Linked DNA regions of Lepisosteus oculatus. The protein of the gene in region 1 interacts with the protein of each later gene in a pairwise test. Links are inferred from orthologs where the notes say so. Each region holds a gene or a part of one and is shown in the gene's direction. Other genes may lie near its edges. The genes, in order: zc2hc1a and castor1.

Region 1 (3,925 bases):
GTTACTCTGGAAGAACCTCACAGGATACCAAAACTGCACACAGTGCAACAGTACAAATGGCAGGATTGCCAAGTGACAGATTCTTAGATCATTACGCCGCAGCTGTTGCAGGACGAGGATTGTGTCCAACAGACAGGCAGCCCTAGATTTTGACCTCTCCTGGAATGACCCTCACTTGCACCCTGCCCCTGTCTGAGGTAACACACATCCTGATGAAAGCGTATCTCTCGCGGTCTAATCAGTGGTCTAATTGCCTCATCAGCACTCAGCTGACGATCTGTCATCCACTCTCTGCCTCAGAGGAGCCTCTGTGGAGGTCTCCGAGAGTCTGCGATGACAGGGAGAGTCACAGCCCCAGAGCTGTGTCAGGTGAGGCAGCCACCCAAGGCACAGAGTGGGTCAGACGGGTCCCAACACCTTTCAAGAGTTTCTCTCTTGCCGAGAGCATGTGGCCACTGGGATGCTGGCTCTTTCGCACAGTCTGGGCCTGTCCCCCCGAGGGCAGGCGCAGTGCATGCCCACACTTTCCGGGCAGTTTTATCCACTGTCAGTCCCCCTGTGTGGGTGAGGCTCACGGTTGGCATATGGATTTAAAACCAGTCTAAAGGTTAATACTGGACCGGAACTGCCACATACAGTACACACCTCCGGTGAGGGGTAAATCAGATCAGCCAGTGCATCCTGAAACCAAGAGTGCAGGTACAGTACTCTGTGGCCTGTGTTCTCATGCTATCCTTCACCTATCTATCTTGTGGGAAAGGCACCTGTCACGAAACCTAAAATGACATGCTTGCAAAAAGAATTCCCCCGTCACCCAGTCAAGTTCAGAATTTCACTGTACACTAAAACATGGCTTCTCCTCGATCACCTATCCCTTGAAATAAGAGGGCCAGCGGCGGAATACTCCAATCTGAAACACGCTTCTCGATTCACAGAGAGAGAAAAAAAGAGACCTTGATATACATAAAAACCACGGCGTGCCTGAATCCGAGCCTATACCACCCAGCTACACCGTCCGCAGGCCTTACAGGAGGAGGACATGATAAGCGCGTTTCTCCGGAGCGGCGACGGCGACCCCGCTGTAAACAACACAAAGGACAGCACCAGCACACAAAGCGCACAAAGCGCACAATGCGCAGCGCTTTCTCTCAAGCGCACCGCCGCAGGGAAACCACTTTCGGCGATGGACGGACATCGCCCAGGCGCACCGCAGCTCTGATCGTCGCTGTTTTTGAAGCGGTTTCTCACACAGCGATTTCAGGTACAGCAACCACCCCCTCGCCCCTCCCCCAGCAAGATAAAGGTCGACTCCACGGAGGCTTACCTTATAAAACCTTGCGGATAACCAGCGACTGGGGCGAATATTTACAGTTCCAAAACACGAACGTACTGTACATAGCGAAATATAAATGCCATTATAAAGACACACTAGCAGTTACGTGTTCTGTGTATAGCCCGCACACACAATGTACAGCTGAAGGATTTCGTTCTGCAGATGTGTTTTCTTGGGTATCATGACGCTGAACCCGGTGAAAACGTTATCGCCGCCCCGGTCTGGCTGACCCCCTTGTAGCACGTACTGTACCTTTTAAAGCTCTGACAGTCCAGTCATTGCAACGCAGGAAGCGGATTTTGAAAGGCGGCCTCTCCTGTCTCTGTGTCGGGACTGCACTACCGAGAGCGCTCCTCTCCTGCCATTCTGGCTGTCTAATGATGTCATCGGGATTCCGGGATGCTCTCCCGAGGCGGAGGGAGGGAGAGGGAGAATATCCACGGCAGATTGCGATGGGAATGACTGCATGCGGCCTCCCGTGCTTTGCCTCGTCCTAAATATCTGTCAGCCCCCGCACATCTAGAAACTTGTGCGGCATTCCCCTACAATTTCCCTGGAAAGAGAGGTCTCGTCCTTTGTCACAGACTTTTTTTTTCTTCAATTACAAAAATAAGTATTCCGTCAGCAGAACCCATTTGAATTGCTCCACAAACTATTCACATGTAATGTTTTAAAACTATCAGGGTGTCTGTAGTATCCACCAAAAACGACCAACCACTTGCAAAGCGGAAATATCTCAGTTCTTACTATTTCTATTGGGGTTGCATGAATCGCTATGCAGGTTCGCATTGTAATCCGTATTTTATTAAGATTTTCTTTTATAAGCGTTCAAACTGAAATGAAAACAAAAACATTTGAGAGTGCAAGTTATTGTTTCGATTAGTGATTGTCTAGATGTCTGTCATTTCTCTTTGTTTCTCGCAAAAACTCTGCAACGATCAGACCTGAAACGTTTGACTGCGTCGGTTACAACCTGTTCACCCATTCCCATCTGATACCAGCTGGGAAACTCTGGGGAAAAGGGCTGTTACTGCAGAAACATTCAGAAAGCTTTGGAGCTTCAGTGTTGTGAATTTATTTGATCTTAAAACGTTTATTTTTTTCATTAAATAACGTGAAAACGGAAGTTGTGTTTCCCTGCGTCTTAGATTTATGGTGAAGTTCAGAGTCGGTCTTTGTGCTCCTGGACTTGGAACTCACAGCCTAACATTCAAGCGATACTCGCTTCTGTACTGTAATATTTTCTTAACGTGTGCTATTGTAGTGTAATATTAGGTATCTTAAACATATTGGAAGCACCTGTGAAGACCTCCGTCTTCCTCAGCTCAAAGCCCTTTCTCCGAGTCCAAGCGGAGACGCAGTCAACGCCGTGCAATGGCTCGCCATTACTGTACAAGCAGCCAGGGCTTCAGTTTATACCACCGGCTTCAGTTTGAACGTTTCGTGTGCTCAGGTATCGGAATGAGATCTGAAGCGCAATGCAGGCACATGTGGCAACGGTGAAAGTGACGTCGTGTACCAGGACTACATACAGACCCAGTACTGGACCCAGTGTGCACAGGACTGTATATGAGAAGGGCGTTCCTTGTTAAGTACCGTACCTGTACACAGTATTTTTCGGCACTCGGGAACAGGAGAAAGGTGATCTCCAGGCGTGTGCACAACCCGGAGTCCACCGTGCAGGCTCTTGCCTTTTCAGAGCGCCGAAGGAGCCGCAGCTCCTGTATATGAAGAGAGACCTCTTTATTCCTGCCAATACAAAGACAAAATTAGCAGCCACCGACAGCTGTGTTACCTTTAACACAGCCTTCACCATGAGATAACTTCGGCCAGTGAAACGCATGTGCGTACAGTATGTATCCTACAACAAACTCCTTATAGATGCTGTGCAGACTGTGTATGAACACACAGCACATGCAGTCCTCGTACGTTCCTTTCATCATTGTCAATCGTAAATGTAGTGCGTTTTAGGGGTTACTCTGACAGCTCTGTTATAAAGTGCCTACGCCGTTACAGACAGCCATAAGGACATAAAAACAGATTGAGGTACTCTAATTGGGAGAGTATCAAACTGATTCTCACTGATGGAATAATCGCCACAGTTTTAGAGATGCCTTTGTGTCCACGCCGGTTAGAATCACGGGCTACGTCTTCATTCAATGGACTGTATAGTAAGAAAGCCAATAAACTATTTGCATACTAGATTATTGTTTTCAACGGATCATGTACATTCTTCAGTTTGTAAGGCCTAAGGCCCCAATATATTATACCCTTAATTGAATTACATTAAATTAAATTCTTAATTTCGCCCGTGGGTTAAAGAAATATCTTTACAAATCATAACAGAAAAGTAAAAAAATAGAATTGCTATAACTTTAAATAAACGTACTTATTTCTAACAAAGATATACAGTATTTTCAACAAACTGATGTCCTGCATCCTGCATAACACATTTCAGATCATGCAGCGTACATAGTCTGTAAGTGCCTGCAAGCTGTTTAAGCCCTGTACTGTATCTATTGCAGCCATTGTCCAAGCAGTAGTTCGTGGCCAACAGTCGCTTTGTTTAATATAGTAACTTATTGTCTGCCT
Region 2 (3,925 bases), on another chromosome or scaffold:
GCTCTATAGATCTCCCAGAGAACCATTCTACTGTCTTCTTGCACACTTTGTTTTTGAGCAGAGAAAGGGAAACAAAATGCCTGCAGCAGATAGAAATACTGATTAATAATAAACCAGACAAGTGTGTGTGTGGGGGGTAAATTTAAATCATGATGTGTGACATACAGTACTGTAGCTATTGTTACTTTGAGCGAGGTACTTAGATTTCTCTAGTAAAATGTCCAGCTGTCTACAGTACATTTTGTACTTTTCCATTGTATACAACTCAGCAAAATAACACAAATGTAAAATAATTTACTTACAATTTGGAAAGGACAATTTGTTTGCAGTGAGTCTACAGTGCTGTGTCTTAGGCATGAAATGGATAATAGGCATTTATTCTAAAAATGAACAGAGAAAGAATGTCGCTGTAGTAAATTAAAAAATATGCTCTATCAGTCAAAATGTAGTCTATTCTACTAAAATAGTATTAAAAGAGAACACTGAAACGTTTAATTGTATTCAACTATTGCATGTAGTGTATTGTCTTCAGTGGCTGATCGGGGAGATCAATATTTTGTACTTAATACTGTACATATCTTTAGCATCTTTTCAAAACATGAATTTATATCATTTATATTAAATATTGCAAAGGAAAGTAGATTGACTGTACTATATATGTTGTATATGTCAGATAGTATTTTTGAAAAACTGTTTCCCCCTGTATTATATAAATAAAACAAACATTGTAGTGAAAAAACAACAATATTTATTTAGCTCATTAAATAACATAGAGTGTGAAGGATATAATGTTTATAATGGAATGTTAAGATGTTCTCGCAGCAGGCCAACACCCTTGTTTGAACAAGGTCATCTGACAAGGCATGGTACGAACAGTATTTGGGTTTTGGCGTCGAGGACAGAACCCTGCAGAAAAACCAGAGAAAAGTTAAAGGCTGCTCGCAGCTTACTGTAACACTCGCAGGTGTCAACATCAAAGCCATATCCAGGTCACCGGGCTTAATACCCCCGTTCTATTAGCTTATGAAACTATTGGTTTAGTGAGTACAAATAAGGCGAAATAGATTTCTATATCCAGCACGATGAATACAGTAAATTATTTGAAAATGTCTGACAATGAATAGCTGCCTGGACTGACTCCTTTTTCACTCAATTCATTTTTTCTTTGCAGTACTGTAGTTCTTTATGAAGGACTACAGAACAAAACATGAAATTCAGCACTCTGTAACAGTACTGTACATGCACCGTTAACATACTGTGCTGCAGCTTGTATAGGGGGGATGACACAAAAAGAGCAGCAGCAGCTATCTCCAGTCCCTGTCCCTTTAAGTGCGAGGGGGCGTATGCAATTTCATAGGCCTGTCTTTTATTTAAATGTCTTTGCTTCGGAGTCGGATTGCGCTGTATTCTTATTCGCTGAATGATGCAAGACGGGGGATGGCGATCGGGTGCTTGCAGGGGAATGCAACACAACACTACTAGACCGTTGCAAGTCTTTAGAAACGGGGAGTCATTTCCAGAAGTCCCCCGCAAGCTGTGCTCTTAGTGACTTAGTTAATTTTAGGCACCGTTGAAAACAACAAACAAGAGCATGGATTTGCATATACTAGACCATAGACTGAAAGTGACTAGCATCTGTAAAGATGGGTTAATGAATTTCACTCACCCATTGATCAAACTCATTTTTCTTCGTAACAGGACGAGGTAAGGCGAAGAAAGACATTTTTTTTAACCAATTAAGTTTCCAGCTGGATGACATCAGTTGCTGGTAACATTTACAATATTTGGAAATGCAATGTTGCTACATGCCCTAGTATCGTTCACATCGAAATATAAACATAAGCATATCATCATCCAACTCTCTGTAGCTGATGGAAAGGCCTAACTGCTATAGTTTACAAGGGGTAGAGTGCTTAAAACGATGTGACCAGTAGCACACTGGTAAAGCAATATATGACACCCATGAAATTGATGAACGAAAAGTGTTATGCATGTAAATAGGGTCACTTTTTTAGTGGACGCGTGTGTTAATTAAGCGGAGAAGTTACCTTAAAGTATCAGGTGTTGTTTAATGCTTTGCAAATACTGCTTTGTCTAAATGCCAGGGATACCACTTCGTCTTTTTGTTTTAACTGATCAGGAGGATAACTGGCGTGTTTGAAAGTGTCATTTGTACAGGTTTTACTTCTTTATTTTATTCGTTTTTTCCCCTGCTTTGGTTACGTGTCGATAAGAGGGTTTGTTTGACTTGCAAGGACATGAGAAAACTTGTACGTACTGTCCTTTCAGTGTGCCAAGTGTAAACGTTTAAGATAATTTCTCTGTGACATCTGCCTGTGTTTTGTAACTTAGTCTATGGAACTGCAGAAGCACAGTATAGTGTTTTAAATTATTTACCGGAACACCTTAATTAGCGTTTGGAAAGCTCGAGTGAAACAACTAGAAGGGACGCCACTGACAAATCAGTAGAGTTTAGCAAACAGTACAGTATATAGACCGTTTTTGTTTTAAGTACAGACTGGACAAACCTATATGTCACGACTTGTTTTAACCCCACCTGACTTTAATATGATGGTGATGCAATAATGTCGTTCACAAAAGGATTAATTAATTTCTATAACTGTTAACCTAACTTTGAACTGCAAATATATGCACTCATCACAAAGTTGTCTTCAGCATTATTTATGTTTTACTCCAACGTTTTTTTTTTAAATGGCAAATGGCAAAACTGAGCTCTCAAAATCAGTGCGCTTTTATCATAATGTAATTTCTACGGAGTTTAGAGGGGATCTCTAAGCTTTCTCCTAGTTTTTAAAGGTTAACTAAGTTTGTGATTGTTATTGACCTTTAGTATAATTGTTGAAAGTTGGTTTATTTTTGGTCTACAAAAATGAGCTACGCCTTGCTGAACAAAATAAATTCAGATCTGACAGACTGCTGTTTATGTAAAAGCCAGCTACATCAGTGTCTAGCTGGTTTCTCCAGTAATACTCAAGCATTAATCTGGCAGACAGCACATCTGTTTGCTTAGTTGTTTTTCTGCTGTTTCAGGGGTGAACTCTTGCTTTCCAAACCTGTATATAGGATTTTTTTTTCTTCATAAAAATAAGTAATCTGTATATTGCAACGACAGCATTGTTAGGCGTTTCAGGAAATAAAGCGTGGACTGTCCTCTGTGTTGAAAGTATTCTCAGAAGAGATTTTGCTTTGTATCTATGTATACATTTGTTAATGGTAAACTCTGGGGGATAGGTGAAATTCTCCTATACAAAAACTTATTTAACTATTTTATTGATCATATTTAAAGGGGGAGACGGCTAAATCTAAGCCCATAAAACAATTAAAATATTGTAGTTATAAAAAAAGTCCCTGTCTGTTTTAAAGGTAGTGTACCTTGTACTCCACAAGGATCATCTGTTCATGAAAGTTTTTCTTTGTGTAAGAATTTAGTTGCAAAAATTCAACTTGGAGAGTTAATAATTAATGGGCACTGTATTTAGATTTTCCTGTCTTTGAAAGCAGAAAGCACAAACAGATGATGGTTTTAAGTCTAACATTTTGGAGAGACTGGGATATTTGCCCATTTAATGGTGATGGCTTCAGTTATGCAAGAGTTGGGGAGGGAAAAAATTAGAAATTATTTTGTTTTACAGCATATCGCCAGCTACTTCACTCTTTGAGCTTTGCTTTTGATCCTGAATGTGAAGCCTGCGGTTTTTAGAGCATGATCTTATGACTTATTCCATGAAGGTGTTTAGGTAGAATTGTTATGTCTTGTTTATTTATTTTTTTATGCACCTCTCTAAGTTTGCAATGCCTCCAGGTAGATGCTGTGCTTGCACTATAAACATGTTTGCATAGCATCACTGTTTATACAGACTGCTGAAAAAGAGAGAGAGCAGTGTTCACTGCAGGTGGCCTGTGG

The links.
Region 2: the proteins of zc2hc1a (region 1) and castor1 interact in binary tests that used the Homo sapiens proteins (3 or more experiments, as listed by UniProt). The two-hybrid records come from large-scale screens. The link is inferred for Lepisosteus oculatus from reciprocal best matches to the Homo sapiens genes ZC2HC1A and CASTOR1.

Annotation. Positions count from the first base shown.
Region 1 is NC_090701.1:1,211,798-1,215,722, reverse strand, and holds the start of zc2hc1a (zinc finger C2HC domain-containing protein 1A), read left to right. Parts: upstream 1-972; 5' UTR 973-1,131; coding exon 1,132-1,261; intron 1,262-1,324; exon of another isoform or gene 1,325-1,579; intron 1,580-1,585; exon of another isoform or gene 1,586-1,727; intron 1,728-3,925.
Region 2 is NC_090717.1:4,660,358-4,664,282, forward strand, and holds the start of castor1 (cytosolic arginine sensor for mTORC1 subunit 1), read left to right. Parts: upstream 1-1,391; 5' UTR 1,392-1,591; coding exon 1,592-1,704; intron 1,705-3,925. UniProt on the Homo sapiens protein: Functions as an intracellular arginine sensor within the amino acid-sensing branch of the TORC1 signaling pathway. As a homodimer or a heterodimer with CASTOR2, binds and inhibits the GATOR subcomplex GATOR2 and thereby mTORC1.